Linked DNA regions of Danio rerio. The protein of the gene in region 1 purifies or fractionates together with the protein of each later gene. This does not show direct contact. Links are inferred from orthologs where the notes say so. Each region holds a gene or a part of one and is shown on either strand. Other genes may lie near its edges.

Evidence for each region.
Region 2: the proteins of acaa2 (region 1) and pgd fractionate together in Homo sapiens (co-fractionation; 3 studies listed by BioGRID). This does not show direct contact. The link is inferred for Danio rerio from reciprocal best matches to the Homo sapiens genes ACAA2 and PGD.

What each region holds. Positions count from the first base shown.
Region 1 is NC_133183.1:3,747,457-3,764,553, forward strand, and holds the start of acaa2 (3-ketoacyl-CoA thiolase, mitochondrial), read right to left. Parts: upstream 7,825-17,097; 5' UTR 6,966-7,824; intron 5,634-6,965; 5' UTR 4,568-5,633; coding exon 4,352-4,567; intron 2,072-4,351; exon of another isoform or gene 1,260-2,071; intron 732-1,259; exon of another isoform or gene 673-731; coding exon 556-672; intron 1-555. Other genes in the region: mrpl40 (large ribosomal subunit protein mL40), read left to right, coding at 12,697-12,752, 12,865-12,942, 15,173-15,331. UniProt on the Homo sapiens protein: In the production of energy from fats, this is one of the enzymes that catalyzes the last step of the mitochondrial beta-oxidation pathway, an aerobic process breaking down fatty acids into acetyl-CoA.
Region 2 is NC_133198.1:32,323,178-32,340,325, forward strand, and holds the start of pgd (6-phosphogluconate dehydrogenase, decarboxylating), read right to left. Parts: upstream 11,311-17,148; 5' UTR 11,292-11,310; coding exon 11,200-11,291; intron 10,889-11,199; coding exon 10,813-10,888; intron 10,733-10,812; coding exon 10,553-10,732; intron 10,477-10,552; coding exon 10,411-10,476; intron 10,329-10,410; coding exon 10,210-10,328; intron 9,730-10,209; coding exon 9,525-9,729; intron 9,330-9,524; coding exon 9,140-9,329; intron 3,904-9,139; coding exon 3,773-3,903; intron 3,578-3,772; coding exon 3,444-3,577; intron 2,178-3,443; coding exon 2,078-2,177; intron 605-2,077; coding exon 482-604; intron 1-481. Other genes in the region: kinesin-like protein KIF1B, read right to left, coding at 15,880-15,922. UniProt on the Homo sapiens protein: Catalyzes the oxidative decarboxylation of 6-phosphogluconate to ribulose 5-phosphate and CO(2), with concomitant reduction of NADP to NADPH.

The DNA.
Region 1 (17,097 bases):
GTTATTTCGACACATATATAATACACAGACATATATTGTATTTATTATGTTAAATAAAACAATTGTGTTACATAGATATTATAATTTGTATCATATACACATATATTTCATATCTAAAAATAAATAAAGGTGGGTGACACTGTGGCTCAGTGGTTAGCACTGTCGTTTCAATGCAAGAAGGTCGCTGGTTTGAGTGCCGGCTGGGTCAGTTGGTGTTTCTGTATGGAGTTTGCATGTTCTCCCCGTGTTGACGTGAGATCCCTCCGGGTGTTCCGGTTTCCCCCACAGTCTAAACACATGCGCTATAGAGGAATTGATTAACTAAACTGGCTTAGTGTATGAGTGTGTGTGTGTGTATGGGGGTTTCCCAGCACTGGGTTGGGGCTGGATGAATGAATAAATAAAATTTTCTCAAATATATGCATACAAGTGTGTATTTATAAACACATGATAACTATACACATATATTATGTCAAAATAAACTTCTATTTTGGATGCTACTGAACAACATCATACGACCCTCAGAATTAGATTGAGAGACTCAATTAGACTTACTTTCAAATCGACTCCAAATTTAGTGCCAAAGCGGATGTTTCTGACAGCGTAAGGAGCTTGGCTCATGCTCTCTGATCCTCCACACAGCACCACCTCAGACTCTTTCAGGCAGATCTCCTGCAGCACAACACACACAACACACACACACACACACACCAGAAACTCATATCAATAATCTGGTTAAAATGATCATTTATCCCACAAGCAATTACATCTCTAAATTCCTCTTCTCCTTCTGAATATTTCACAAGTAGCATAAGCATTTATAAGTAATGCCGAGTTCAGACTGCGTGGTTTTCAAAGTAGTCGTGTCACAGATGTTTTCACACTGCTTGACTATCTGGGCTGGCGTTTTGTCGCTGCTTTGTTTACACTGCAAGATGAATCGGCAGCAGGGACTTTCACATTGCATGACTTTACAACAGGAAGAATCGCCGACTACTTCGTCCAAACTACGTCTCACAGCCAAAAAAACGTCGTATAACTTTTGTTATTAACTACATAATGAGAAAGAAGCCTTTAATGGGGTAGAAAATGTACTTATTTGCTCACCTGGGTTTAAAGGGCATTAGCAATCTCTCCCTAACTTTCTTTTTTAACTTTCTGTATGACACGTCAAACACACACGGGTGCTTTTGTCAATCCTCCACTAGTTTTTCCTCCATTTCTTGGATCCAAATAAACTTAATATGAACGCTTTTAACCTCTCCCCCATTCTCCCGCTGGCCAGCAGGTACACACACACACACACACACAAGTGAACGCTGCTCTCTCATTGGCTGTACACAATGTTATTTTCAGTCAAAACTCAATTCACACGGCATGATTTGAATCGCCGACAGCTCCAGATATTCAGCACGCCAAATATCTCGCAGGCATCGGCGACTCATCAGCGATTCTCTCAGATCGTGTCTTTGACAGTTCATACTGTGTGATTGTCACTCACATGCACGAGCACCGATTTGCCTGTGATTTCAGGCATTTGTTGGCGATTTCTCAAAACCTGTGGGCGAGTCAAAAATCATGCAGTCTGAACTCGGCATAAGGGAACAATAACTAAGCGAACGTTGTTTTTTGAGTCTTTTGATAACTTAAAATTCATTGTATAATAAAAGTTTACACTGACCTTTATGAAACATCATAAACAAAGTTTTATTGGGAATAAGCAGTGTTTGTTCTTTAAAAATTGCTCCTTATAATCTGGAATTTCAACATTACATTCAGAGCTTGCTCATGCTGTATATAACTTTTTCATTAAAGAAATCTTTCACTGGGCAGGGCACGGTGGCTCAGTGGTTAACACTGTGGCCTCACAGCGAGAAGGTCTCTGGTAGAAGTCTCCGCGGGACCAGACCAGATTTCTTGCGGTGTGTTAGTGGGCGGTTCAATCCGCTGTGGCGACCCCTAATAAATAAGAGACTTAAACTAAAGAATACTTATAAATGAATGAAAATCATTCACTGTCATACGGAGATCTAACAATATCGCTCCCGACTCCCGAGTGAGCGAGCACACACTTGTATGTGTGTGAATGAGAGAGCATGATGCTGTGTTTAGCTTGTTTGTTGCTGTCTACTAGGCTTGGGTGGTATCCAAATTTTGATACCGTCAAACCTCCTCCTCCGGTATCCGGTATTACCGGCGTAATTAAAAAAAATATGACGTAAGGCTCAGACAGCGTCACCAAACTGTTAGCTTGTGCCTAAATCATTCAGAAACTGAATACCTTGTATGCGACCAGGTTTGAATTAAATTAAAATAAACTCTAAATGATGACGGGTATTTTGGCAATGATGAAATTAAGATAAAGGCTGTGCGAGATTTGTTTCAACACTTCTCTTCACAATCTGGCATTAAGGCGACTGTGAAGCTGAATATTAAAATAATAATGCCACCATTAGCCTGTATACTCTGTCTACATTATGATTATATGGTTTCATTAATATTTATTTATAATTTAAAAACCCTTTACTCACCAAGATTAGGCTACGTGTGTTTGTGGAGGAACATTATTAAATACACTGGCTTTAGCGCAGTCCTGCGTTCATGCTGCGTCCAGCAGAACTGAACACCCTTTCCTGCGGCTACAGGCCGAGATGCAGAGTTCTGATCTGGCTGATTTTGCAAGTTTTGGGTAGGATTGTTTGTTCATCTTCTACCAGGCAGGAGCAACCATTTAATTTTCCATGACAGCAGTTTCAGTGTAGCGAATGGCCTCGTCTTTTTACCTGTCAGCTTGCGGTTTTGCGCTCTACCGTAATACGTGTATGAGCGACAGCCGAAATACCTTGACGGCTTGAATGACTGTTCCTTCTGAGCTAGTGACTGACTTGACCGCCGTCAAAATTTGCGTTTTTTTACTTCTCCGTCATCATTTCTTTTACATTTGCAGGGATGGATTTTAATGCAGGGATTTGGATTTCTCGGGTCTCGCCGGGTTCGGGGAAAGATCGTCAGTTCTAATGCAGACCTCTAGTCTAGTTCATTCATATTTACCACGTCTCCCTTATCTTTCAGTCGATACCGAAAATACTGCCAAACTGCAGGTCACTCATTTTGGAGCGCGACTCAACACCTCACCTCTCCCTCTCCCCCTCTCTCTCTCTCTTTCTCTCCACCACACTGTCCCGTGATGACAACCACACATACGTTTTTGTAGGCATTAAATAAAGGATATTTAATATTTTATGACGGTATAACGGTATTGAAACTGACACCGTTGCTATTTTTAGATCCTGCGGTATACCATAATACCGTAATACCGCCCAAGCCTACTGTCTACGTGTGAGTGTATGTGTGTGCGAATGAGAGAGAGAGCTTTGTGCTGTCTATGTATGTGTGTGTGTATGTGACAGCGTGTTATAGGCTGTCTGGACTCTGTATAGCTGGGTGGTTTTCGGTTTTGTTCTCCCCCCGCTCATTAGCGGGACCAGGCCCGGTGTGTAGAAAACGGGGCTGTCGGGCAGTGGGACAACAATAGTTGAATATAAGCAGGAGCGGTCGGGTTCGGACTAAAACCTGGCGGGAGCGGGATTCAAAATTTAGTCTCGCGCAGGTCTCAAGTCTCTGGTTCGAGTCCTGGCCAGACCAGTTGGCCTTTCTATGTGTATTTTGCATGTTCTCCCTGTGTGGGTTTCCTCTGGGTGCTCCGGTGTCCGCCATAGTCCAAACACATGTGCTATAGTTGAATTGGGCAACAATATTGGCCGTAGTAAATGAGTTTATGTGTGAATAAGTGTGTATGGGTGTTTCCCAGCACAGGGTTATGGATGGAAGGGCATCCGCTGTGTAAATATAAAAACATATGTTGGCGGTTCAATCCGCTGTGGCGACCCCTAATAAACAAGAGACTTAGCCTAAAGAAAACTTATAAATGAATGAAAATCTTTCACTGTCATACGGAGATTTTAATCATAAACAAAAGCATCGAAACTGTAAGTCTGGTTAAAATGTAAAGTTTGCACAGCTGAAGAAACTGGAAGACATTTATTTAATGAATCGTGACTCCCAGAATTAGATTGTGAAGTCCTTAAAGATTCCCACCCCTTAATAAACGGCATTATACTTTATTAGAGACTTGAGACCTGCGCTGGACTAAATTTTGAATCCCGCTCCCGCCAGGATTTAGTCCAAACCCGACCGCTCCAGCTTATATTCAGCATTTGTTGTCCCACTGCCCAACAGCCCCGTTTTCTACACGCCGGGCCTGTTCCCGCTACTGAACCGATACCGAATTGTCCGCATCTGCATCGCGGTGCACCAAAGAAACAATTAATTTTGACACCCCTAGTTGTACCTGTGCTCCATTGATTATGGACTGGAATCCGGACCCGCAGAGGCGGTTTACAGTCAGCGCTGGCACTGGGATGGGCACACCACACCGCAGACCCACATGACGGGCGATGTAGGGGGCGTCTGCTGAACTCTGGATAACAATAAGAGAACATATGTGCAGTATTAGGATTTGGGCTGGAGCTCTTTTTTTCACCAACCTACTGGATGACTGAAGCATCAAACATAATAATGAACGATAATAAAAAAAGCATGAGTGCTACTCTTCTGCAAGGTGATAACCTCAAAGCTAAAAAAAAAACATTAATCAAAACTCTCTTAATATTCAAACTAATAAAGAAACTCTAACAAGTCTCTCTCTCAAATATAAACACCAAAGACACTTATAAGCTAGTTATCCTTGACATTTACTTTTACAGTTTAAAAATTACGACAGTAAATCTTTTAGATTTTACCACTTGAACAAGTATTTTTTTCAGTGCAATACAAACAGGAATAAAACTATAACGTTTAGTGTATTTATTTAGAATATTAATCAGAATAAACTGTAAAGTTCAGCTAATATAATCAGAATATCAATCACAATAAATCTGTTTTCAAACTTTCAACTCGCTCTTTAAGATCTCAAAACTCAGGGCAAAGTCGAGTAAAGGAGGTCGAGCCTTCTCATTTATGGCTCCTAAACTCTGGAATAGCCTTCCTGATAATGTCCCAGGCTCAGACACACTCTCCCAGTTCATCTTTTTAGTATAGCATTCACTCAATGCATCACATGATGCATGAATGTGCTCCACGCAGGTGAGCTGGCTTGACAACCACCTGTAGGACACACTTTTCCTGTCTTAATGCACCAGACATTTTGTTAGAAACACTCATATGCTTTACATGTTTGTTTGTATAACTGCTATTTACATTTATAGCACTTCTCATGTTTAAATACACTATAAATAGCAGCTACGCTAATTACATTATGATTTCTCTATTTCCACCTGAGAATACTCATCCTGAGGCCTCTAGAGATTATGCAGCGCCACTGATGTGATTCAAGACCTGTAAAGAAATGACACCAAGGTATCCATAATCCTGGACCAGGCCGTATCCTGAGCTGATGCTGTGGCAGTCATGAAGGAGTGTGAGACTGGTTCCTGAAAGACCACAGTAAGAGACAAGTCTTCGTATTGATCCTGTGGGCCAGCCTGATCACCCGCTGGTGACCTACTCACACCTGCAGCTTCTCCATGATGGATGTCCAGCATTCTCCAGCCTCCAGCGCTTAGACTGCAGCTCTGCACACGAAGTTTGGCCAGAGGAGAAATGGTCGTGCACAATTAAGCCTGGGTTCTGTCGAGGTTTTTTTTCCGTCACTTTGGTCAACAGGCGAAGTTTGTTCCTCCACTGTCGCCACTGGCTTGCCTGAGTTTGGACTTGTAGAGCTGCGCATCGATGGATTTGCTCTTCAGTGTTTGGACTCTCAGTATTGAATATTAAACCACACTGAACTGAACTTCAACTCTGAAAACTGGACTCACACAGTTTCAATTTACTAGAACTTCTATGTTAAGGTGCTTTGACACGATCTACATTGTAAAAGTGCTTTAGAAATAAACATGAATTGAACTCAGTGTATTTAATCAGAATACTGATTGGAATAAAACTATAAACCGGAACTAAAAATACACTGCGCTGCTGATAGGGTGAAGTGACGTCATAGTGAAACGGGTCTATAATGCTCATTAGCCAATCAGAATCAAGCATTCAAAGTTAAAGTCAAAATTTAAAGATATGAATTGAACTTCTAGTCTGAGGGTGCTTTCACACCTGCCTTATTTAGTTTGATTGAATCGCACTAGAGTTCGTTTTCCTTTTTGGTGCGGTTGGTTTGGGCAGGTGAGAATGCAGCAATCGTACTCGAGTACGCACCAAAAGCGGACCAAATAAGCGTACCGAGACCTGCTTAAAGAGGTGATCTTGGTACGCTTTCAAACGAACCCTGGAGCGGTTCATTTGTGGTGAGAATATGATCCGTACTAAAACAGGTCCAACAGCAAAAAGTACTGCGCCTTTTGGACTAATCCAGCTGCCGTAGGCCGATGCGCCAACAGAGAGAGAGAGAGAGAGGGCAAAACATTACCTGATGGATCGTTGTTAATATTTCCGCAAGATGAGCATGTCGCAGTTTCGCTAAATTAATTCACGCCTCATGAAGTGACGAGTGATGCATTAAAACATTGTTTTCCAACCAGTGGCGTAGCGCAAAATGCGGAGGCACCCCAGCAGGGAAGGCTGACGTCATACGTCAATTTGCATATCACTGACGTCATCACGTTCTACCATTTGTGTTTAACAGCCTATGGTTAATAAAGGGGTATTTATAATTGCACTACACTTTATATAAGCATGTTTATTTAACTAAATTTATTGCTGTTTAAATACAGTATATCATTATAGATGTGTAACGTTAGTGAATGTGCAGTAATCTCTCATATGTAATAAATTCAGACAAGTTCAGAAACTGTCACTAAAATATCTGTGATTGTGAACAAGAAAAGAATAAACGGTCCAATTAAATTGTTAAAATAAAGGAGAAGCAGATCGGTTTGACTGTATAAGGGAAATACCTTCACACTGCCTGTGCTAAATCATTTGTCGTCGGTACGCAGAGGCGTGATCTGCATTCGGGCTGCAGGTGGGAGAGGCTGCTGTACGAGAACTGACTGGGCCGCCTGTCAGTGCTGTGAGGCGGGGGAGGGGCCGGCGGCATCACACGCAGCTCGTTGAGAAGAGTAGGGACGGTACAGTATGGACAAATGACAGTCTAAAAAAAAATCTCCAATAACACACAAAAAAGTCGCTAGATTTGTCGCTAGGGGGTCTGAAAAGTCACTAAATCTAGTGACAAAAAGTTGGCAACATTGGCGGCAAGCAATCAGAATGAAGTAGTCCACCGCTTGAGAGGTGTTCAGAGAACACAGACCTGTGAACTTTGGTTCCGACCACAGTTGTTCCCGAGAGTTTGATTATTACGGTTGCCGGATTTTCAATTATTGAAAATCGCGACGACGTGGAGCCCCCTAATCCTGCGGGCCTGTCCGCTACGCCACTGTTTCCAACCGCGGCCGCGCTTCATTTTCGTAATGTATAGTTTGTCTAAAGCAGGCATACAATCAGTCAGCGCAGTCGTCCCTCCAGAGTAAAAGCAACATTTTGTGTCTGCCGGTTTTGTTTACCTGTGGGAGTTCATTGGCATTTTCCCGCACATGAATTCTGACCAATCAATAAGCAGTTTAGGAAATATGTTCAGCAACATCTGGCCAATGAGAGATGTGGATTTTGTCAGATGACTGCATTTGGGTTCGTTTCAACTGGTTCGGACCAAAGCCAGCAGTGTGGTGTGAAAACGACCCAAAGACGGCAGAAGATGCAACAATGTATCATTGGTCCAGACCAAATGAAGCGAACTACAGATGTGAAAGCACCCTGAAAGAGAACATGCCAAAACAGCAAAGTAGTCTGGCTTCTCAAAACTGACAATGATTCTGCATGCACTGTAGTGTCATGTTTTATAATTAAAGCACATCACAATCTCTCACCTGCATGACATTTCCGATAATGACACTGTTGACTAGTTCTGGAGCCACATTCCCCGCAGCGAGAGCTGCTTTTGCAGCGTGTTCAGCCAGATCTGTAGCACTGTGGTCCTTCAGAACGCCTCCATACGTGCCGAACGGCGTCCTCTTCGCCGAGACTATAAACACACCTAAAGAAAACACATACAGTTGTGATGTAACATCATGATAACGAACATCCATGATGTTATGATCACAGGCATTTCAAAATTTGTTGGCATTTCTGTGTGGAGTTTGCATGCTCTCCCCATGTTGGTGTGGTTTTCCTCCAGGTGCTCCGGTTCCCCACAGTCCAAACACATGCGCTATAGGGGAATTGGATAAATTAAATTGGCCGTTGTGTATGAGTGTGAGGGAATTAATGTGCATTGATGCTTCCCAGTACTGGGTTGCAGCCGGAAGGCAATTAATAAACTGTTTAATTTAACCCTTGTGTGTTTTCGGTGATGTTTTCATCCACTCTGGGGTGATTTTTAGGCTTAATTTGGTCACAACATTCTCTGTTTCAGCAGAAATAATGATTTTTGGTGTCAAATCTTGTTTTGACATATATTTTGAGAAAATGTTTTGAAACAATTCACTCTGGCCAAATTTACTACACTTTCATTATGTTGGTGGCTGTTTTTGACCCTTTGAATTCCTTAATAATCACATTTAATAATTGCAAAGGCATGACAGCATATAAACATGCAATCATGACTGTTGCTGGTTTTTCCTGTTGTGTAGACATAAAAAGTAAAATTTTTAATGTTAATATTAATTCATTTCAATAGACACCTAATGAAAACCACTACAAAAGCATTTATTAATCTTAGAAGATGTTATTTTCTTAGCTCATGCCAAAGAACTTCTTCAAATTAATGGTTGTAATTGTTTTATTAAATTGAGAGTTAATAACTAATAAATTCAATTGTATTTTCAAATTAATAATTTTAATATATATTTTTTAACTACCATAGTAGTTTGTGTTAATAAATGTTTATTTCTCACTGAGTTCTACACATTGACTGACATTTAATAATAAAATCTTGCTATAAAGTGTTACCTATTGTACTTTATAATCCTTTAGTTACATTTATATATATAATAAAGCAATTCTGCACACACAATGTTATTGTTACTTACTTATTATAACTGTTAAAGTATTCTTTTTGCAGTTTATAGTCAATATCATCATGAAAGCTTAAGAAATGAATGAATAACTTTTACACCGACATAAACCCTGATCTTTACTTAACCAACATCAGGTACATTTAAATCCAGACTGAAAACACATGTTTAGCTCTGCCTTTACTGAATTGAGCACTGTGCTATGACCGACAGATCGCACTATTATATATTATAAAACTGGTTTTAACATATTTTAATCTGTTTTTAATACCTTTTATTATTTGTTTTTTTTTCTTATACTTTTATTCCAGTTTATGTAAAGCACTTTGATTTTCCACCGTGTATGAAATGTGCTATAGAAATAAACATGCCTTGCCTAATCTGATTTGATTCCTGTTGTTTACAGAAAATCAAGACTGTTATAAAAAGTACAGAAATGTAAGCATTATAAATAAGTTAGATATAGATAGATATGGCTGATTCCAGCGTTATGGACGTGACATTTGCAGCAAAAATTCAAAAGACAGACAGAGCGTGCTTAGCTTTTGCACTATTTTTGCACGCAAATGTGTCAGGATACAGGCTAATCTCCACTGCTGTGTGGATATCTGTTATGTTAATGTACAAAATAAACCTGTTTTAAGGTCCACAAACCAGGATTGACGCGTCTCCCTTTATAATTGTTCTGACACGCGGCTGTGCTGATGAAGTAAAGCTGAAGTAAATTGCTGTACTTCATTACACACATGCTCTGTTTTAAAACATTTTAAACATGTGAAACTCACTCGTGATCACATTTGATGATGATTGCTGATCCTAGCGAACAGAACAGAGCTTTTATTCCCGGTTGCTTTGCGCACGTCTGGTCTTGTTGACATTATTATACACGTTACTACCGGGACATGCTACGCGAAGCTGTCAATCAATATTGGTGGGCGGGGGGACCACGCTCCTACGTCAAGTTGTGGTCGGTCTAAAACACGCTCCAATTGGTCCACCGTTTTTATGTTGTTAAATTGAAAAAAAAAAAAAGGACTGGGTGTTTTTATATCACCCAAATATGACTGTCTATACACTATACCTACACACATGTCTGTCCAAACAGCTTGAAAAGTAGATTTTACACTATAGGTGCCCTTTAAAATTATATTGAAACATCTGCTTTTATTTTCCAAAACAACTAACCACGGAGGTATGGGATCAAAAAATTTCAATCTGTGAACATTTTCTCTACTTTAAATGAGGAAAATAAACATGCGTTATGGATGTGACAAAAACAGTGTGCCTGTTTACAGAATAAAGCATATTTTGTAGAAATTCTGTGAATTAAACTGCACAACCCAAAATAAATAATGTTCATACAAAAGATAAGAGTTGGTTTTTATAGAACAAAAATGATTGATTTTATTTTTCATTTTTGCGGGAAAAGCTTTGTTATGGATGTGACACTTTTTCGTTATGGATGTGACGAATGTGAAATTGCCATTTTTGTGACTTTGGTAAATCAAATATAATAGTTTGAAAACATTGACAGAGACATTTTAAGTATTTTTTTAAAGTACTGTATAACACTTGCCTATGCAAAAAAAAAAATGTAGAAATGGTTTAGCTATTTTGGTGAAAACATTTTTTCTTTTCATGGCAAGGTCGACATTTGCATGGAATTGCACATATACATATAGATACACACTCGTAAATGGATATATGAAGAGTTTAGGTGCAAAACCCTCTAAACGTCGTCTGAAATGTTTTCCTAAAGTGCACATTTTTTTTCAAGCTCCTGTATATTCAGTAAATCCACTTTAATGCCAAATAATGTTATTTGCATTGCCTTTGAAGTGAAATACCTGAACACAAACAGGATCCTGAGTAAAATGCTCATTTTAGAAAAATATTTCAAATGGCACTCTTGCGTTTGAACTCTTTATATTAGACAGATAGTTAGACAGACAGGCAGGTAGATAGACAGACAGACAGACGACATAGAGTAAACTTTACTACTCACATATAACATTTGGGTTAATATTAACCCAACAGGTAACCCAATGATGGGTTGTTTTGGCACCGACCTTCTGTTGGGTTATTTTAACCTAATCCTTTGAGTTGGTAACGTTAGCCCAACAATTTGGGTTACAAAATTAACAAATCTGTTGGGTTAATTTGCCAAAATGTGGCTTAACCAAGGAATATCTCAAATATGTGTATAATATACCCACCCCCACCACCCCCAAAAAAAAAAAACTTTAGAAATGAACACGGAGGTAGAGAAAGTGCTTTTATCCATATGTGAATCAGCTATGAAGCGTGCGTTTGTATCATTAAATTAAGGGTGCAGGTGAAACGGTAATAATAAACACAACACTAATTTAGGTAATTTGCTAAAAAAAAAATGTTATTGCGTTAGGTCTAAAATAAACTTTATAACGCAAACACAACATTACGTACGAACATTAATACAACTGATCTGTGTCAGTTAAATCAGTTGACTGTTAAAATGTAAAGGTTTTTACCCAACTGGTTGTGTTATTAAATAAATAACACAACACAACTGATCTGTGTTATGTTATGTTATATTATATTATATTTAAATATTAAATAAATAACACATCAAAGGCTAAAAATAACCAAACAAAGCACCAAACATTTAACCAAACTTGTTGAGTTACTAATAAATAACCATAAAGGTTCAAAATAACCAAACAAAGCACCAAATATTTTTAACTCAACTGGGGGTAAATAAATAACCCAACATTTTTTAGTGTCGAGTAAACATGGGTTTATGTCACTGACCTCCCCTTTAACCTAATTCTGCCAGAAGTCATAGTTTAATCTGATGTTTGAGCTTCCTACACGACAGCTAACTCTTCTTTTAACTTTAATTAATTACATTTAATTCAGTTTTGATTCATAACGACGATTCAAACTAATTGTATTTAATAAAGAAGAGTCGAGGAGGAAAAAACTACAAGAATTCACTTAAATAACACAAACTTTAATCAACTTTAAGCCTTCAACTATTTTAGATGTGGTATATAAAATAAAAACATTAGTAATAAAAATAGGAAAAATAACTGAATATTAGTGACATTGAGGAGATGAAGAAGTTCAAGTGCAGTGCAGAAAACAAGTGCAAAAGCAGATAACATGTACAAATCAAATCATTCGAGCATTTTTAACACACATAACACATTAATTTATCGTAAAATATATAACGTTTATTTACCTCTGAGGAGAGACATGATATCGACTGTGCTTGAGATCGTTTGAGCAGCTTCAAACACACAAACGCACACACACACCGACCTTTCACCTACTTACTCTTAACATTCACTTCACAACATTCGACGCACACATAAAAATGAATATTCCATAACAACCTTATATTCTAAACGAAAATATATATTATACGTCCTATTTGAAATAATTATGATATTTAACACAGATATTTAAATTCTGATTTTAGCTAATAAAGAAAAAAACAACAACGCGAAAGTGCGTCTGTGATAACGGAAGTGTTTTTACACTGACCTACAGATCCACACTGGCCACTGAAAGGAGCAAAACATTTAATTTCTCACATTTTATGTTTGTAAAGTGGATATTTCTGTAAATTATGGCGGGATTTGTGTGTCGTGCTGTAAACCGGATTATTTCGAGTCAATCCTCGTGGTACGTATGTGACTTTAGATATCCATGTGCACGCGATAATTGTAAAGTAACGCACAGAGGTCATGAGGATGATAATCATTGTTATGCTAATAATTAATAACTCTTTTTACAGTTGCAGTCCTGTTATTGCTGTCAGACACAGTCACTGGTTTACCTCAATGCTTTCGTTGAAAACTTCCGCACCATTAAGGTCAGTGAAGATACAACTTATGTTATGTATGATGATTAGTTCACTTAATGTCTTTTCGGCTTAGTCCCTTTATTATTCATCACAGCGGAATGACCCGCCAACTTATGCAGTATGTGTTTTTACGTACAGTAGCTGATGCCCTTCCAGGTGCAACTCAGTACTGGGAAACACCCATACACATTCACACCCACACATACACCACGACCAATTTAGTTTATTCAATTAATCTGTAGCGCATGTATTTGGACTGTGGGGGAAACTGGAGCACCTGGAGGAAACCCACAACAACATGGGGAGAACATGCAAACTCCATACAAAAATGCCAACTGACCCAGCCGGGGCTCAAACCAGCAACCTTCTTCCTGTGAGGCGACATAATTATTTTAAAATAAATGAACGAAAAATTGAACAAAACTAGTTGAAACATTAGACTCGTTATCTGCATTTAATATAATTTCTGTGTAAATAAATGAATCAAAATGGACATTTTATATTTGATCCACATATATACCAGACATTTTATATTTGATCCAAGACTACCAGACTCATTAATAGCTTTTTTCCTCAAGCTATCAGACTGCTCAACTCACTCATGAAAACTGGATTATAAAATCACAATCAACAGCCCACACACACAAAAATCTGTGGAACTGTGAGAAAAGCAAACTCAATGTTTTTATATTAATATTCCTTGCACGTGTAACATGTTTACAAAATACACTTACCTCTAAGCTGCTACTTTGCACTTTGCACTTTTGCCATACTGCACCTAATTGCACTACAATAAATACCTCAACTTGGTCATATTCTGGAACAATAGGATATATGGTAACTGTTCACAGTTTATTAGTGTCTATTATTTAATTCATCTTGTACTATATTAGTTAAATGTTTAGTTTATGTCTAGTGTGTGTCATATTTTTGTTTTTTAAATTGCACATTGGAGTATGGGAGAAACGCAATTTCAGTCTGCTGTGTAATGTACTGTTGCATGGTTTGATTGACAATAAAGTTGACTTGACTATACACTCACTGGCCACTTCATTAGGTACACTTTACTAGTACAGGGTTGGACCCCATTTTGCCTTCAGAGCTGCCTTAATCCTTCGTGACAGATTCAACAAGGTACTGAAAATATTCCTCAGAGATTTTGCTCCATATTGACATGATAGCATCACACAGTTGCTGCAGATTTGTCGGCTGTGCATCCATGATGCCAATCTCCACCACATCCCAAAGCTGCTCAATTGGATTGAGCTCTGGTGACTGTGGAGGCCATTTGAGTACAGTGAACTCATCGTCATGTTCAAGAAACCAGTCTGAGATGATTCACGATTTCTCCAATCTTCTATTGTCCAGTTTTGGTGAGCCTGTATGAATTGTAGCCTCAGTTTCCTGTTCTTAGCTGACAGGAGCGGCACCCGGTGTGGTCCTCTGCTGCTGTAGCCCATCTGCCTCAAGGTTGGACGTGTTGTGTGTTCAGAGATGCTCTTCTGCAGATCTCGGTTGTAACGAGTGCTTATTTGAGTTACTGTTGCCTTTCTATCAGCTGGAACCAGTCTGGCCATTCTCCTCTGACCTCCGTCATCAACAAGGCATTTGTGCCCACAAAACTGTGCTTACTGGATATTTTCTCTTTGTCGGAGCATTCTCATTCAACCCTATAGATGGTGGTGCATGAAAATCCCAGTAGATCAGCAGTTTCTGAATGACAACCATGTCATGTTCAAAGTCACTTAAATCCCCTTTCTTCTCCATTCTGATGCTCGCTTAGAACTGTAGCAGATCGTCTTGACCATGTATACATGCTTAAATGCTGCCCTGTGATTGGCTGATTAGTAATTTGTGTTAACAAGCAGTTGGAGAGGTGTACCTAATAAAGTGGCCGGTGAGTGTGTGTGTATGTGTATGTGTGTGTATTTATGTATATATATATCCATGCATATGCTCAGGCTTGTGTTTTACAGTGCTGTAAAAATACTCAAAAATGTCTCTGTCAAGGTTTTCAAACTAATATATTTGATTTACCAAAGTCACACAATTGGCAATTTCACATCCGTCACATCCATAACCAAACTCTTTCCTCACAAATGTAAAATCATATAAAATCAATGATTTTTGTTCTATAGAGAGCAACTCTTATCCTTTTCATTATCATTATTTCTTTTGCAAACGTCACATCCATAACTCTGAAATTGCTCGTTTCATTTTTTTGTTTTAAACACCACAGAGCCGAACCCAGGAAGAAGAAGAAGAAGGTGGACCCGCGGCAAGAAATTTTAGTGAAGGACCGACTGAAGAAGAGACTGAAAAGGATGGAGAAAGTCTCTCCAGAACTGATTCCCATTGAAGACTTCATAACTTCAGCCAAAAGCTTCGACGACACCAGGTGAAATAATACAATATTTTATAGATTTTTTTAAATTGGTTTTTTAAATTAATTTATCAGGATCCTCATTAGCCGCTACCAAGGAAGGGGCTATTCTTCCTGGGGTTCATCGAACATAACACAAAATTACATTAATTCATAACAACAAGACCAATAAAACATTAAAATATAAAATTCATACAAATCATCCAGATCAACAATCCTCTTAATATTGTTCCATTAAATATTTCTAAACCGATTTTTAAAAACATCTTTTTACTTGTTACAAAGCATGTAATGTCTGATGGCAATCATTCCATGTTTTCATTCCTCTATACGTTACAGTCTGTTGCTTTACATTAGTTTTTGAAATGGGAAGCAGAAAAATTCCTTTTAATGCATGCCTGGTGTTAAAATGATGACTAGCATTACTATACAAAAGTTGACAGTACAATACACTTGGAACTCTTGTCACAGAAATATTTCTTATGATTTCATAGAGAAACCATTACCCTATCCTTCACCAATAACCAACCTAAAGTTTTATGCATTTTCATAATATTAACTCTTCTGTTGCTGTGTAAAATTAGTCACAGATAATCACACGGAACTACAGTCTGGATAACAGATTCAGGAATTTTTCACAGTATTTAATATAATATTGTTTCTTCTGGAAAATGTCTTATTTGTTTTATTTCGGCTAGAACAAAAACTGTTCCTATTTTTTTAATCCATTTTAAGGTCAATATTATTAGCCCCCTTTACCTTTTAAGGTGTTTTTTTACATGCTTTTCTGATTTCTCTTTGCTGTTTGGGCTTATCGCAACATAATTAGAATAAAATATAATTATAATCTTTTGATATGATGTACTTTTAGAGAAAAATGATGTTCATATATGTGGACTCGTCGTCTGAATTTACATAAACACTTTTCCTGTTTGTTTTTAATGCATATTTAACATATTCATTTTTTAACATGTTTTGACTATCAGTGAGTAAAAACAAAAAATGTCCCAATTTTGGACATTTAAAATAGTGTTTGGGATATTTCATATGCTGCAACACAGTTGCAGGATGACACTGTATGTCTGAAACGAAATATAAAGCATTCAACATATTTTAAATAGCCACTTAAGAGCTAAAATGTGCTGTCCACGTATAAAGACACTCAAGCCCTAGGAGGTTAAGCAATATTTCTTTCTATAGTCTACAGCACAAACCACTGTTATACAATAACTTGCCTAATTACCCTAATTAACCTAGTTAAGCCTTTAAATGTCACTTTAAGCTGTATAGAAGTGTCTTGAAGAATATCTTGTCAATTATTATTTACTGTCATCATGACAAAGATAAAATAAATCAGTTATTAGAGATGAGTTATTAAAACTATTATGTTTTGAAATGTGTTGAAAACATCAGCTCTTCGTTAAACAGAAATTGGGGGAAAAAATAAACAGGGGGGCTAATAATTCTGACTTCAAATGTATATCATGTAAAGTTAAAGCTTATTCAAACTCGAACCATGCTAATTTATGTTAGCAACTGCCTAGCAACCATTTAGAACACCTTAGCAACCACCTAGCAATCACTCAGAACACCTTAGCAACCACTTAAAACACCTTAGCAATCATTTAGCAATGCCTGAGCAACCGCCTGGCAACACTTTTGCACCGACCTAGAACACCATAGTAACTCCCTAGCAACAGCTCAGAATACTTTAGCAACCGCCTAGCAATAATACCCACCAAGAAACGTGCCAGTCCATACTAGAAACATGCTACCATAAA
Region 2 (17,148 bases), on another chromosome or scaffold:
CGGATTTCTGCGGAATTATTTTGGGAGTATCCAGCGGAGTATCATAACTTACACCTTAATATATTAAATAAAAAGTAATAAACTACTGAATAAAAACTGAATAAATTCTGATTTACACATTTACTCAAGTAAATAAACAGAATCAATAATGGGTTTAAAATCTGCATAAATCTGCAGAATTCTGTGCGCGCAGATTCCGTGTGGGTCTAGTTATGAGTAAAACATAAAACACAAATGCTTGATCATGGCCGGCCTGGCCTAAAGATAGTGGCAGGAAATATTGGCCCGACCACGCCCAGGGGTTGGGTCGGATTGGGTCAAGTCTGGGCTCGAGCAGAGAATCAAAAAGAAAAGTTCCACTTTGTAACCCGTTTACAGATTCATGTGTTCTCAGTAAAGTAAACAGGCAGGACGCATAAAAAGTTTTCCCATTTTTGGCTGAACACCTTTTCTTGCAGTTTATGGGTTGTTAGAGGTTTACCTGCAGCAGGTTTGCTGGGAGCATCTCGTGTCTGTACCCGTCATAGAAGGACAGTGCGGTGGTGAAACTGGGCATGGGGATTCCCTGCTGCACACCTGTACTCACAACCCTACGCCACGAGTCCTGCACAAAGCACAACCAAATTAACTGACATGTCTATGTGCTCAATAAAGAACATTCTATGTCTATTAAGCCTCATACCTACAAAAACTGTCAAGTAAAATTTACATTAAATTATTAGCAGGATATACCAGCCAGTAAATAAGTTTACTGGTGAAACACAATATTCTTCTTTAAGGTGTAAAACACAAACTCAAAAAACAGTTTGTATTTGGCTGTGATATTTTCTGCAAAACTGTAAAATGTGTAAATAATTCAACCAAAACAAATCATTTGAATGAATGATTCGTGAACTGCTCTATAACAGGGATTCTCAACCGGTGGGCCGCAGCTATCCTGCAGGTGGGCCGTGAGATAGCCTAAAATTAACTCTCAATATTATAGTATAATTTTTGGATTCCATTATTAATATGCTATATCAAAATGATGCACTCTCCTGTTCGCTCAGTGCAAAAACAGCCTCCTGATCGCGTCTGCAACTACATCTAGGTCTGTTTTTTCAAAAATAACGTTATGCGTGAAGTGAAAGTCTCTCTTTCTGTATTTTTGTGTTAACTATTTAATATATCTGCATAGTTATCCAAAATAATGTCCTGTGAGTGTTTTATAACAGACACGCGCCCATGCAGGAGGATCTAGCGAGGCTCAGTGGGGGTTCTGCCATAGAGTGTAAAATAAACTTGCATGTGAGCTTCAGATGCTCTGGCGGAGCTGCTCACTGGTCCTGTCAGCGATCTCCCAATAATATCCAGCTGCAAACTCAACCGTCTGTATATCTTTGAATAGATTTAATAGTAGATATTCAGTCAGTTCAGCTTAAAGCAGAAGCTGGTCTTTTGCAGTCTCCCTGCTGACCTGTGGTTCTCTTTAAATCGGTGTATGTATTTTTTTTTTTTTTAATAAAATTTTATTTATATAAAATAAATAAATAAACATATGTTGAACTGTCATGGCATTATAAAATAGCCATGTTTATCTGTTGATCTGGTTTCTTTGAAATGATTGAACATCACTGCCTGATTGAGATATGATATAAAGGGAGACTCCGACTGGACCAGAAGCACTGTATTAAATGAAGTTCCTTGCATTATCTTTAAAATATGGACAATTGTTTTACCACAGTGTTTTCAATGGTGTGTCTGCGCTTGCCTGCTGCTCTACGGCACTTGCGTTTAAACCTGTCATCTTGTTTAAACACTTTAACAACTAGATGAATGCTTAAGTCGATTACAAATTATGTTATAATTAAGTTACATCAGTGCTCTAAAAGAAACCTTGCGAAATTTCAAATGGTCACAATCAAAAACACACACTTTAACCAGAAGATTATCGGTGGCTGAAAAACACTTGCATATAGCCCATTGGACAAACTTTAAGAGGCATATACTTTCATGTAACCGCATGTAAACAGTCATGTAGTGTCACAATTAGAGGAAACTGAGCAATTTGTGGTCACTCTTGGCTCATTTCCTGTACCTGACAATCCTGTACAGCCTTACTGAAGAAGCTGTCCAGCAACAAACTCTGCAGCTCTGGGTTCCGGTCAAACGCTTCCTTGATCTTTCCCAAGAAAACACTGCCAAAGGAAAGATTCAGGACCATTATTCATATCTTACCCAAGTAATATGAAAGCATAGAGCCAAACCGTTTCCTCATTCTGTGCATGTGGGATTTTTTACATGAAACATTATGACCACTTCATAGAGTTACAACATTTACTGGGTGGAGAAAAGATGAAGTTTCACATGATTTCAGAAGAGAAATATGGCTTTCCATCCTGACCATTAATCTGAAATGAGCATACAGCTGAAGGCAAACTTTTTAGCTCTATAAAATTTGTATTTTTCCAGAGATGGGTTGCGGCTGGAAGGGCATCCGCTGCGTAAAAACTTGCTGGATAAGTTGGCGGTTCATTCCGCTGTGGTGACCCCGGATTAATAAAGAGACTAAGCCGACAAGAGAATGAATGAATGAAATTTGTATTATTTTTTAAATATTTATCAAGTGGTGTTTAAACGGAGCAGTATTTCCTATAATATGTTTTCTTCTGGAGTCTTTTTATTTATTTTATTTAGCATGGAATAAAAGTTAACTTTTTAAAGCAATTTTTAAGGTCAATAATATTAGCCCCCTAAAGAAATTGTTATTTTTGACTGCCTACAGAACAAACAACTGTTGTCCAATGACTTGCCTAATTAATCCAACCTAATAAACATAATAACCTAGTTAAGGCTTTACATTGCACTTTAAGCCGAATACTTGTATCTTACAATCATTCATTTTCTTTTCGGCTTAGTTCTTTATTAATCAGGGGTCGCCACAGTGGAGTGAACCACCATCATGCATAATATCTACTAAAATATTATGGGTAACACTCATTATATAACGATCATTAAAGTATGAAAATACCAACATTAAGTACATAAAAGTGCTTATAATTCAAGAACACTACATTTGTAGCTGCATTTATAAACAGCCTACTAATATCTATTAACATTATGTACTATGTCTATTAACATTATGTACATTACTACTGTACGTAACATTAATTCTTAATAAAACAATGAATTAACTATTTGCTAATGCTTAATAAATGACTCCTAGTGTGCAGTTATTTAAAAGTGTAATTAAATACTAATTATTTTCATCATGGCAAAGACAAAAGAAATTAGTTGTTTAAACTATGATGTTTAGAAATCAGTTGAGAAAAGCATTTTCTCTGTTAAACAGCACTCGGGATTTTAAAGAAAACTGAACAGGAATGCTAATAAATCTGACGTTAAATCTGACTTTGACTGTATATCTTTTGGAATGTTTTTGTTTAAATAAATGATGGATTTACCTGCGGATGATGCAGCCTCCTCTCCACATCAGAGCAATAGCACCATAATTCAGAGACCAGCCGAACTCCAGCGCAGCCTGACGCAGCAGCATGAAGCCTTGAGCATACGAAATGATCTTAGAGGCATACAAGGCCTGAAATAGAAATAAAACTAATTATATTCATAGAGTAAAAACAACCCTCCAGTAAACCTTTAATACAACCATTATTGTTATTGGTATTATTATTTTTATAATATGTATAGCGTTTAACATTAACAAATGTACAATCAAATTAAAATACAAACACATTATGCATGTTATAATTATCTACATTTAATTTGACCCCACCTTTCTAATGTCTTCAAGGAACTGTGCTTTGTTTCCAGTGAACTTGACACCCTGAGGGCCGCTGAGGCTCTTACTGGCCTGAACTCTTTCATCCTTCAGAGACGAGAGGCATCTGGCAAAGACAGCTTCCCCTGTGACACACACACAAACAATCATCTCCAGTTACACAGACCGAAGCTCTGCATGCATAATGAGATTAGAATCACCATTAGACCATCTCAGAGATTAGAATCGTAAGGAAATGTTCAATTTTTCCCCGCAAAAAACCCACCTCAATTTAACAAAAATAAAAAATCTATTCAATAGAACACAAGCAAAAATACTTTGGATGACTGCTAAATTATCCTAGATTCTCCTTTTGCTACTGTGTCCAACAATAAATTTATCAAAATAAGAATATTAAGAATATTAATAAGAATAAGAAGAAGAAATAACAAAAGCAAATAAGTAAAAATAATGTCTTTTATCTTACAATGCAGTGATTGAATGCATCATACGCTAAAGATTTACTGTGTGGTATGAAAACATTACAGTTCAATCTGAAGCTCAGCTTGGAGCGCTAGTGAAGCCATGACAATCATAGGGAAAAAGGAGCAATCAGTTCAGGACTAAGCTATTAAAAATTTAAATTATATCTGTGTGCAGATATAAAAGGAAATTTAAGGAAATCTTTTTCTACCTACACCAATTAGACTTTTAAATCTGTCATACTTGTTAATGATTGAATTGTTTGTGTTGATTTGTGTTTTTAGATGTCTCTTTCTGTTCAGTGTATGAAATTGTGGGCCTAAAGTCCAAGACATATTTCCCCATTGGGGACAATAAAGTGGAAAAAAATAAACTGTGTGAATTATTAAAGCATTATTATTTCTATTATTATAATTAACATGAAAAATATATAATTATTTTAATAATAATAATAATAATAATAATAATAATAATAATAATAACAAAAACTACAGATGATTTACAACAACTACTAATAGAGCACAACAATGCATAATTATATTATCTTCATTAATACTACTACTACTACTACTACTACTACTACTACTACTAATAATAATAATAAGCATGAAGTATTAAAGCATTATTATTATTGATAACATGAAAAAGAATGTGCCATTATTATTATTAATAATAACAACAAATTATTTACAACAGTCATTAAAAAAGTACAACAAATAGATAATTATGTTATCTTCATGAATTACAATATGAAGAACAGCATGAAGTATTAAAGCAGTATTAATAACAACAACAATTATTTTTTACAACAGTTATTAATAAAGTAAAACAATGCATAATTATATTAGCTTTATTAATATCAATATACAATTATAATTCCATAGTAGTAAAATAGTTATAATAATAATAATAATAATAATTATTATTATTATTATTATTATGTAGTCATATATCTATATAAAAGCACACTTTAGTATCTAGTTTAGTATCTCTGCATTTTTAAAAGTCAACAAAAAAATGTTTACTTTAACTGTTTTGCATTATGACAAAGAATTTTTCTTCCCATCAAATCAATCAAGTATTGTAATATGAAAAACAACACTTGTAAAGACAATACTTCGTCATCTTCACTTCTGTCTTTAATAAAACAGTTTAACTATTATAGGCCATTATCCACGGTGCTTCAACAAGTCAAAGTATGATTCACTTTATATCTGGTACTGTTGACACTGCTAATGTAACTCTCAGCAGTGTAACCGACCAGACATTTGTGAGAACAGTAGCTTACCACATTCACAAACACAAAAACCTGAACTCAGCATGACTTGGTATTATATTATCACCCAACCCAAGGCCAACAAGTGAGGGAAGAGGAGAGGAGGAAGGGAACAAATATCTAGCGTAAAGCAGCCAGTCATGGTGAACTCAGCACTGGAATGCAGCCTTTTGAAAGACGGAAAGCCTCCTCTAGAACCACACAAATCACATCTGTTCTCTCACGCTTCAGCGCTGCACAAACAACTATTTTACTGACACTAAACAAGCCCATGTCCTGATCTGACAAATACATGTCAAGCCAGGTCAAGTTTATTTAGATTGCATATTTAACAAAGCATAGATTGTAAAAACTGCTTTATAAAAGCATGCATCACATTGAGAACTGTAGCACAACTGGTTTTTGATTGTGACCAATTGTTAAAAAAAAAAAAAAAAAAACTAAAAAAAAAACACTGCTAAGTTTTCAAAACCTTAATTCACCACAAATTAAAAAAAAAAAAACTGAATATGTTTTTTTTTTTTTTTTTTTTGTGCCCTGGCCAATGTTTCTGATTTATAAATCTAATCTTTAATCATTTTTATTTTTAAGAGAGCAAATGTCCTTAAATGTTATTTTTATTTTATTCTAATATACAAAAAGCAGTCAATAATCTTAAAACAAGTCAAGTCAGATCAAGTTTATTTGTATAGCACTTTTCACATTACAGTTTAAATACTGCTTTATTCAAAACAAATGCATCATTGCTGACATGTATTGCTCAATCTTGAGGGAACATATTTTTATAAAAGTTTACAAAAAAACTTAATCTAATCACAAAACTCAAATCACAATATTTTTCATCTATTGGTCCAGGCCAGCGTTTCTTTATTCATAATGGATTTTAAAAATGTTTTTTAACATATGACCAAAATAATTTTTCTAATTAAATTCTGCAATTTTCACTTTATTTATTTAATTTTTTACTGTTTTACAAGCTGCGCCTGCAAACTGAAAAATGATGCACAAAATTCTCTGCCAAAATTACCTATTTTAAAGTGTTATTCCCTTTAATATGCACCAAAAATGTTATAAAATAGATAATAAATATGAAGAGATGGTCACAAATCATTCACACAAATGTCTCATCTACACTACCACAATTACATTGTTAAATAGCATTATTCTGAGACCTTTCAACAAAAATGTACACAACCTAAAACCAAATGCCCAAGTCTGAAAATATGAAAAGATTTCACATTTTTCAGTGGCAACACATCATTGATTAGAAATAGGCAAGGGATAATGCCTGCTTTCAAGGTTTACCTTATTTTGGGGAAAATCAAGGTTTTAAAAGGCACCTAAGGTGAAAAATCTACTTTTTTAGCTGTTTGGACATACATGTGTGTAAGTAGTGTATATACTGTCATATTGGGGTGAAATAAACACACCCAGTCCTTTTTTTTTTTTTTTTTTAATTTAACAACATAAAAACGGTGGACCAATTGGAGTGGTTTTCAGATCGACTGCAACTTTACGTAGGAGTGCAGTCCCCCCGCCCACCAATACTGATTGACAGCTGCGCGCATTAACATGTCTCCGTAGTAACGCAAATACTCATATCGACAAGACAGGATGAGCGCAAAGCAACCGGGAATAAAAGATCTGTTCAGTTTGCTAGGATCATCCATCATCATCAGACGTGATCAAGAGTGAGTTGTACAAGTTTAACATGTTTTAAAACGTGTGCACGTGTGTAATGAAGTACAGCCATTCACTTCAGATTAACTTCATCAGCACAGCCTTGTGTCTCTCTCACGGTCATTCTCTGTATGTCTGTGTGTCTGACTGTCTACGCTATGTATGTGTGTGTGTAACTGTGCTATGTGTGTGCGCTATGTGTGTGTGTGTCTGTGCTATGTGTTTGGGTGAACTCATTGTTGCAACTCCACAATAAATGCATCAAATACTAATTGGTAAAGTTCTTACTGCAGTATTTCTCACAAACGTTACATGAGATCTGCTTCGTGAGGCAGCCGTGGGCGACGATTAAGGCATGTTGCTGACAGGCAAGTGGGAACGGTGGGCAGGGATGTCTCGCCTTAAAGGCCCAGTGCAAAAAAAAAAAACATCAACAAGCTTTTCCCAGCTATAATACAGACATTTCAAACAGCTATAATAAATACTCTGATGGGTGTTTTGAGCTGAAACTTTACAGACACAAAAGACACTGGGGACACAAAAGACTTATAATAAATATATAAAAAGGGGTAACCTGTGTGCCCTTTAAAACTGCTAAAATGTTTGGTTATATCATTCCTACAGTATATGAAAGCTGTTTTTTTATTTGAGTTTTTGCATTTACCATTTAAAACACCACATTATCCCTACCCTACCACAACCATGGCATTGAAAGAAAAACAACATAAAAATAAAATGTATATCGTTCCTGACTTTGAGTTGACAGTGAGAAAACAGAGTGTACTATATTTGTACAGTTCATATGTTATCATTTCACATAAGAGGCTTGGCAACATCTAACAGAAGGAATATACAAAAGAGGTGCATCTTAATACAAAACAACCCAGGTCATATCCTCTTGAATCACAAAATCTGCCAGATTTATCAATGTTAACAGTGAGGGAATACATTAGGTCATATTTTTTTAGTCAATATGTTATCATTTGACATACAGGGCTGGGTGACATTCAAAAAGTACAAAATAAAAATAACATAGAAAACATAAATAAAGAAGTCATTATAAAGAATTTTTTTTTTAAAGGCCAGGGAGTTCTTCAGAGTAGTTTATAAAGGGGGACCATTGTCTATGAACTTGCATTTAAAGCCTCGAATCATGCATTTAATCTTCCAATTGAATAGAAGACATCACTTCATTTATCTAGAAAGTGTGTGTTGGAGGGTCTACTCTTTTCCACTTGAATAATATTAAACGTCTTACAGTGTAGTGAATGCAATAATCAAATGTATATCTTTACTAAGATCTATATTCCCAGACACGACACCAAAAATGCCCATCAATGGATCTGGGTCAATTGGAATGCTATATATCTGTTCGTATGTTTCAAAAATCCCTTTCCTAAACTATTCTAGCTTGGGATAAAACCAGAACATATGAGCAGTGGTAGAAATTCTTTTTACGTGTTTTTTATATTGTATTTCATTTCGTTTCCTTTTCCAGCAGAAAAGGACCCTGAACATCAGAAGCTTCTGTTCTAAAATATTTTAAACGTCTCTTACAATTAAATATATTGTGTTCAATGGGGGGAAAAAAGTAATTTTTTACCCAGACATGTAAAAAGAACAGTCTTTAGAGCATGAAATGGGGATATATTTATTTAATTTAAGGTTATCATACCGTCAGAATCTTATACCAGCTCATGCCTAGTTAGAAATTGTCTCACATTAGCCCATCCCTGAAGTTGAATCCTGCACCAAAAGCCACAACACAAGACAGAACAGAAAATCCCACCTATGCCAACATTAGCTGAAGAGGTGGACGGTAAAGCTGATTATAGAGGCGCTTCATTCAGGGTGTTATTATAAGGCCAACTGACTCTCACCCTCTATCTAAATAACAGAAACACACCCACACCTGGGAAATTACGCAAGACTCTCTATCTTACCGATCAGTGTGACAGGTGTGCCGTATTCCAGAGCAGAGATAGCCGTCCATTTCCCTGTGCCCTTCTGCCCGGCGCTGTCTCTAATTTTGGGCAGCAGGTTAGTGCCGTCTGCGTCCTTGAATTTTAGGATGTTGGCTGTGATCTCGATGAGGAAGGAGTCCAGCTCTGTCTTATTCCACTGTTCGAAGACCTGATAGGAAAACAAAAACACTGGAATTCACTCTCAAGAGGAAGCAGACCAAAACGGCACATTAGAAAGCAAAGAGTGAGGTATATTTCAAAATACAGAAGAAAGGAGGAAGGAGGAAACCAAGGCTTACAACATCATGGACTGTTCTTGTAAAAAAAATAGAACAGTAATTGAAGAAGGAAGTGGATGTCTGACCTGAGCCATTTCATCATGGTTCATACAAAGCACGTCCTTCATCAGATGATAGGCCTCACAGATCAGCTGCATGTCCCCGTATTCAATACCGTTGTGGACCATTTTAACAAAATGACCCGCTCCTTCATCTCCAACCCAGTCGCAGCACGGCTCTCCGGTGCCCACTTTGGCAGCAATGCTCTGAAAAATGTCTTTTAAGTGTGGCCTGAAGAAACAAAATCAAATAAACTGTCAAGCAGTGCACGCATAAATACACTTAATAATCAATTAATTTAAAAGTATTAAAAAGTTTTAGCCGTTTTAAATTACATGATGTTTTTTTAACTATATATTTATGAAATGAATCCCACATAAGACTGATTTAAATATTAAAAGTGCAGTTGTTTGGAGTAGTGATTGTACTACTTGAGTACAAAATCTGAATATTCAAATAATTTCTGAATTGTGTCGCGAGTAACGATGCTTAAAATTCAGCCTTGAGTCACAGGCATAAAATTACATTATTAATTAAATTTAAACTATTTTTAGTTTAAATAATATTTCAGAAGATTACTGACAAAAACAAATAAATTATGCCAAACTTGGTAGTCCAGATAGTCCATATTTATATTTATATATATATATATATATATATATATTTTTTTTTTTTTTTTTTTTTCCCCATTTAATACACACTTATCCTCACCAGGCATCTTTATGTCCTCCGGGCATCAGCGAGGGTCCGTAACGTGCCCCATCTTCTCCTCCACTTACTCCACTACCCACAAACAGAAGATTCTTCTCCTTCAGGCTCTTACAACGTCTCTATATGTGAAGACCAGTAATATTGAGATTCGACATGATGATGAAAACTGTTTTAGGTCTCATTTTAGATGGCCAAACTCACCGTTGTATCTCTGTACTCTGAATTTCCACCATCAATGATGATGTCTCCAGGCTCAAGAAGAGGAACCTACAACATAAAGCATATAGACAACTTCTGAGTCACTCACAACAAACTAGGACTATCATTTCATGGTGATATTTACCAGTTTATCGATGAAGTCATCAACAGCCTGTCCTGCCTTGACCAGCAGGATGATGCGGCAAGGTTTTTTGAGTTTTGACACCATGTCTTTAAGGGATTCGGCCCCGATCACCTTAGTGCCTTTGGCTTCATTGTTTAAGAAGTCATGGACTTTGGAGACGGTTCTGTTGAATGCACAGACCTAAATAAAAATGACAACTGTTATAACATCTTAAACATGTTAAAATCATGGAGAAATGCAAATGCACTGATGTGACTTACCACAAATCCATGGTCATTCATGTTCAGGATCAGATTCTGACCCATCACAGCTAGACCAATGAGAGCAATATCTGCTCTGTGGAGACATTATTAACAGAATGAACACTGATTATATTTAATTACAGAGTGCAAATTACAAGAAATCATGAGTAGGTCAAACGTCAGTCTGGCTGGGTGACTTTAAAGAGACTTCAACATTAAATCTGTGTCCGAGCATAGAGAAAAGGTGCTAGATATTAAGTAGACAGTTCAGAATAGAGACAGTCAATGCTGATTACGTGCAATAAGCAGATTACATTGCATTTAAGTTGAATATACAAAGTCAAAGGTGATAAAGAAGTTGGACATTTCACTACTCAGCATCTCAGACGCAAAATTCATACTTACTGAGCCATTGTTGAAGTTTGGTTCCGTTCAAAAATGAGAGTTTCGATGAGGGTTTTGACTGCTGTTATTCGGTCTCTGCTGAACTTCCTCATTCACGGCCTTGTGGAGCAGCACTGCACCAGCTCCCAATGAACACGCCTGACGGATGAGTGTGCTCGTGGCGTCATCCCTATCTCCGGCTGTGATAGGCGGAGGCTCTCTGAGCAGAGATTGGAGTCCGGTCATTTGCTGTAAGCTCCTGTTCCACCCCCCGTATGTGCCCCGCCCACTGTGCTTTGACAGTAGCTGTCTGTACGAGAGGAGTGTTTGGCAGCATAGTAAACGAGGAATTAGACTTTCCATGAGGTGAATTGGGACATTGGTTTGCTTTTGAAAGAAGGATTGCTTCACTGTGATAATGTGTAACATATATTAAGTTTCATCAAAATAATTAATTATTAAACGGATTACTACATGAATAGATAACGACAGTCGATTAGATTTATTAGGTAAGTTATGGGTTGAGTACAATTTTAATATTAGGCTAGTTGTACTTTAGTAAGGTCTGAAGGTCATATCTTTCACTACAAACACATTTAATTAGATATAAACACCCAAATATGATGTTTCATTTATTTACACTCACCGGCCACTTTATTAGGTACACCTGTCCAACTGCTCGACGCAAATTTCTGATCAGCCAATCACGTCAGCCACTCAACGCATTTAGGCATGTAGACATGGTCAAGACGATCTGCTGCACTTCATAGTGAGCACCAGAATGAGGAAGAATGGGGATTTAAGTAACTTTGAACATAGCATATAGCATGTTTGTTTGTGTCAGACGGGCTGGACTGGGTATTTCAGAAACTGCTGATCTAGTGGGATTTTCACGCGCAACCATCTCTCGGGTTTACAGAGAATGGTCCAGAAAAGAGAAAATGTCCAGTGAGCGGCAGATCTGTGGGCACAGGAGGTCAGAGGAGAATGGCCAGAGTGGTTCCAGTTTATAGAAAGGCAACAGTAATTCAAATAACCATTTGTTAGAACCAATTATACAGAAGAGCATCTCTGAATGCGCAACACATTGAACCTTGTTGAGGCGGATAGGCTATAGCAGCAGCGACATTTGGATGATAGGGTCAAAATTAGGAATCAGCAATATGAAAGCATGGATCCATCCTGACTTGTATCAACGGTTCTGGCTGGTGGTGGTGGTGTAATGATGTGGGGGATATATTCTTGGCACAAGATTGAGCATCCTGTCAACGCCACAGCCTGAGTATTGTTGCTGACCATATCCATCCCTTTATGACCACAGTGTACCCATCTTCTGATGGCTACTTCCAGAAGGATAATGCACCATGTCATAAAGCACGAATAATCTCAGGCTGGTTTCTTGAACAGGACAATGAGTTTACTGTGCTGAAATGGCCTCCACAGTCACCAAATCTCAATCCAATACAGTATCTTTGTGATGTGGTAAAACGGGAGATTAGCATTATGGATGTGCAGCAAACAGATCTGCAGCAACTATGTGATGCCATCATGTCAATATGGTTGAATCGATGCCACAGAGGATTAAGGCAGTTCTGCAGGCAAAAGGGGGTCTAGTAAGGTGTACCTAATTAACTGTCCAGTATTTCCATATACATAAATAAAAAAAATCTGACAGTTACTAGCAATATCAATTTAGAAAAGTAAAAAAAAAATAATAAATAGGCAAAGTCACCAATTAAACCTTTAAACACTAACATTATATAATGCATCATAAACATAACGCAAGTGTCGAGTAAGGAGAAAGAACGACACAAAAAGAGATCTGCCCTCTGTCTAATGCACTGGTTGTAATTTTATTTTTTTACCTCATTCACTAAACAGGTCAATGGTGCAAGATTACCATACACAGAATTAAGATATATGCATTACACGTCTAGGCTATACAGCGAATGGATTATAATTATTACAAATACAGGAGACATATTTACATTTTAATCCAAGTTCCATACAACATGAAATATTTACAAAATAAGTATGAAAATGAAGCCAATCTGACAAATAATGTACAGTGTTAATGCCACAGCTAAACTGTTTCTGTCGTTTCATCACAATGAGAGGGAACGATGTTCATCTGGAAACGTGAGGTGATACAGTAATGCCAGGGTTGCTTCAAAGGCAGCATGGGAGAAAAAAATGCATGAGTGAGCGGAAAAAAAGAAAGAGAGAAATGACCGTGCCAGTAAAACAATGCTATATTTTTAGAAAACATATTCCCTGATGTTAGAAATTAAAACGCACAAGCCTCATCGCAACTCTAGACTAAATGTGGAAAAAGTGCCCATGTAACATCATCCATTTCCTATTTCAAGAAATAAGAAGCACAGCAACATGTCAGTCCCTATATTTGTCATATCTCATCAGATAATTCATGCATTTAGTGGAACTCAAAATACATTCAAAGTCCATTTCCATAAACACCACACTCCATTTGGTTTCCATTCCAGAAAACAAAAAACATAATTCAAGCTTTATTTGTTCTGTTGTTAGTTTGTATAAACGCATATTATGTGCAAAGAGCTGCAAACTAATATATACATTGCAAAACAATAAATACAGTTAATGGAAATTCATTATGAATGTCACATTAGTCAGTGAAGCCACTCAACAAAGATTGTTAAAAATATATCAGAAAACCTTTGCTCTGGCCAAAAAAGTAACATTAACTCATAAAATTAGATAAACGCTAACCTTCATTAACTCTCCATGCTCCTTATGTGCCAAATCAGAACATTTTCACAGATTTCTTAACAATCCAACAGCTCCGATGAGGCCTGCAGGCTGGCTGACCCGAGGACTTTCAGAGATTCAGAGTCGTTTTCATGCGTTTCCTGTGAAAATGCACTAAAGCGAGCTTATTGACTTCATATCAGTGATCAGCACTTCTGTAGCAGTCATCAGTTCCTGCTGGTTGTCTGGCCAGAGGAATGTTGTTTGCCGAAAATCAAACTGGATCACTGCTAACTTCAGCACTTACATCTAAACTGCATGTGTTCAAACATACAAGGTAAAGATCTTCAAAAGAAACACTGAAGAGTTCTTCAGCCTCTAAGTGCCGTCTGAAATTTCCATCGAAAATCAACATTTTTCCAGCTTCCTTTGTTTGTGATGTCCTTTAAAGACCAGGAAACGGACTTATTCTTTGCCATAAACGTGATATTACTGAACACACACAGGAGCCTGAAAAAATGCTTATTTTAAAGGACAATTTCAGACAGCATTTAAAGGTTTTTTCATCTAGTCAACTATTAAAATTAGACAACATACCATCCCTTTTCCCTCACTGCGCCGCAGTGAACTGCACAAGTGGCCCAGTTTACATCCACTGACAGTGATGAAACGCTTTTAGTGGTCCGAGTAAATAAATAAGACTATAAATGAGGAAAAAGTGCCCTTCTTGTCTTCGTTTGTATAATGTAAAACACTGATCGCTTGTTAATAAAAATAAGTTAAGAGATATGTGGTAAATGCGCACTCATATTTAAAAGTCCTACTCTTCTTCAAAAAGGCTGGTTTAATGATCCTGCTGATCGGAAATTCCTCTGCAAATGTGAATATCTGCGTAACCGTAACCAATCAAATCAGCATCTCACTTCAGATGAGACGAACAGCCCGCCAAAAATGGCATTCCAGTAATACAGTAAGGACAGAAACTCATGAAGAGCGATAAGCGCAGTAATCCTGAAGGTTATGTACAAATGGGATTCATTCGGTCAGTTGTTCTGTGTGTCTAAGGTAATTCTTTTGCACCATTTTATTTTCTTAAGCTAATCTACTGAGGAAATCGAGCAGAATATTCCTGTAGGCTACTGAAAGAGTGATATGAGAGCTCATGGTCATCTTTCCTTCATGTACATCATGATTAGATACTGCACTTTGCTAAATGGCGTGTTTTACGTCCTTCATATGTGGAATTTATGTCAAGCAAATACACTGCATCAGGCTGGGCCAATGGGCTGTATGTACACGGTCAACATACCCACTATCATTGCTAGCTTTGATTTAGCAAATCCAATACTGCGAGAACATTCAGTTTAATAGTCAATTTCAGCCTCTTTTAGAAAATTAAGCATCTCGAAGAAGTGCTTTGGTCCATCTGAAAATTCAATTTTTTTCTGCGCTATTTGGAGCAACGCTATTTGTGAGAGAAAGTTGATTTTTTTAAACCTTTAAATGTGGAATATTTGATATATTATTATACTATTCTTATTTATTTTCTTCAACCTTAATGCCATAGGGGTTTATAGCAAACTGACTTTCTCCTGAGGGTTGTGGGTAAGATGTTCCTGGCAGACAACACTGTAAAAATGAACTGAAGAGAAGCAGAACCTGCTCTGAAGATTCGTGCACACACAAACAGACTATTACAACATGCAACTCGAAGGAGGTTCAGTTATGACAAAGAACGAAAACTGAAGACAGAATAAATCCGATCAATAATAACACAATAGAGAGGGAGGAGGAGGAGGAGAAGAGGAACTGAAAGTTCATTTGCTGGAGAGGAGAACAGAGCCACAGGTCTACATACAAGAGAAACCGTCAAGAAGCACAAAGATTTAGAAGTGTTAACACACTTGGTACGCTGTAAAGGTAGACAGAGAGAAAAAGAGCACTATCTCTGCATGTGTGTGTGTGTGTGATCACTCAGTTCTTCATCACACCAGACCGTCTCCTTGCAAGCTTCGACCTGCAGGAGAACATAGAGAGTCAGAAGGACAGCGCACAACAACATCAACAAAAAACATTTACAAAGAAGTGAATGTGACTGCTGATGGACTTTAGTCAAGGAGGTAAACATTTTTTGGGTTTTTTTTTCCTTTGTTTTTTTTTTAGGTATGGATTTTATGGCAAATTACAGGAAAAGGACAAAATTAATTATACTAAACAGAGCAATAAGGACTGCCTGATGGCCCGGGGACAGCGTGTGAGATGCTCGGCACAGTAGACAATATTGTTACTGGCCCAATCGGGCCACTGATGCCCTGTCACTAAAGTTTAATTTGCCTGTGACTATTTGTCAATTGTGTGCAAAAACAGTGAGAATCGAGAAACAGTTTGTGTTTTTAAGTCTTCAAATGCTACCTTCTCAGTTCCTCTTATCTGATTGGATGTTGTGAGCACGTTATTTATTCCGTAACAACCAGTACAGCGAAGTGACAGCAACATGGCAGCAACATCAAGTGAGGATGCTAAAGGAAAACATTTGTTTCTAATGTCATGGAAGCAGACATTTACGAGGGTACACCACAACTAAAAAAATGAAGTGATGTTTTGTAGTTTGCCGTCAGTTTGGCAGGTCAGCCATCTTTTGTTGTGCAATAAAATGCCTGCACATTTTGCTACTTTTGTTTGCAAAACACTTTGAATTTTGCTCATTATACATTTATTAAATTAAAAAATATATATATTTAAATTCTAGATTTACAAACATTTTGACACATTTTTTTTGCGGCTAAGAAATAACTAGTAACTGTTATTGAAAATATTGGCAGGGCAAGTAAAAATCTGAACCACTGGTCTGATCGGGCAAGTAGAAAAAATCCTTAGCATTAAACCCTGCTAAAATTGTATAAACAATATCAACATAAGGACATACTGAACACATAATGAAATAAAACATGGATAATGAAATAAAATAAAGTACATAATAAGGCTGGGCGATATGGCCTTTTTAAAACAATCACCAATTTACAATTTTAATTGATCCCCTCCCAGGAAAAAAAGCTTGGAGTTTAACCAAAATATATATTCTTCATAATTCTAATTAATTATAGGATATAACAATGCTCAAGAAAAATGCTGTTATTTAAAGATTAAATGTAACAAGATCTATTTACAGTTGTAACCAAGACATATATAATAATGATCATTTAAATTAAACCGTTTTATACAATTACACTGAACAATTACAGT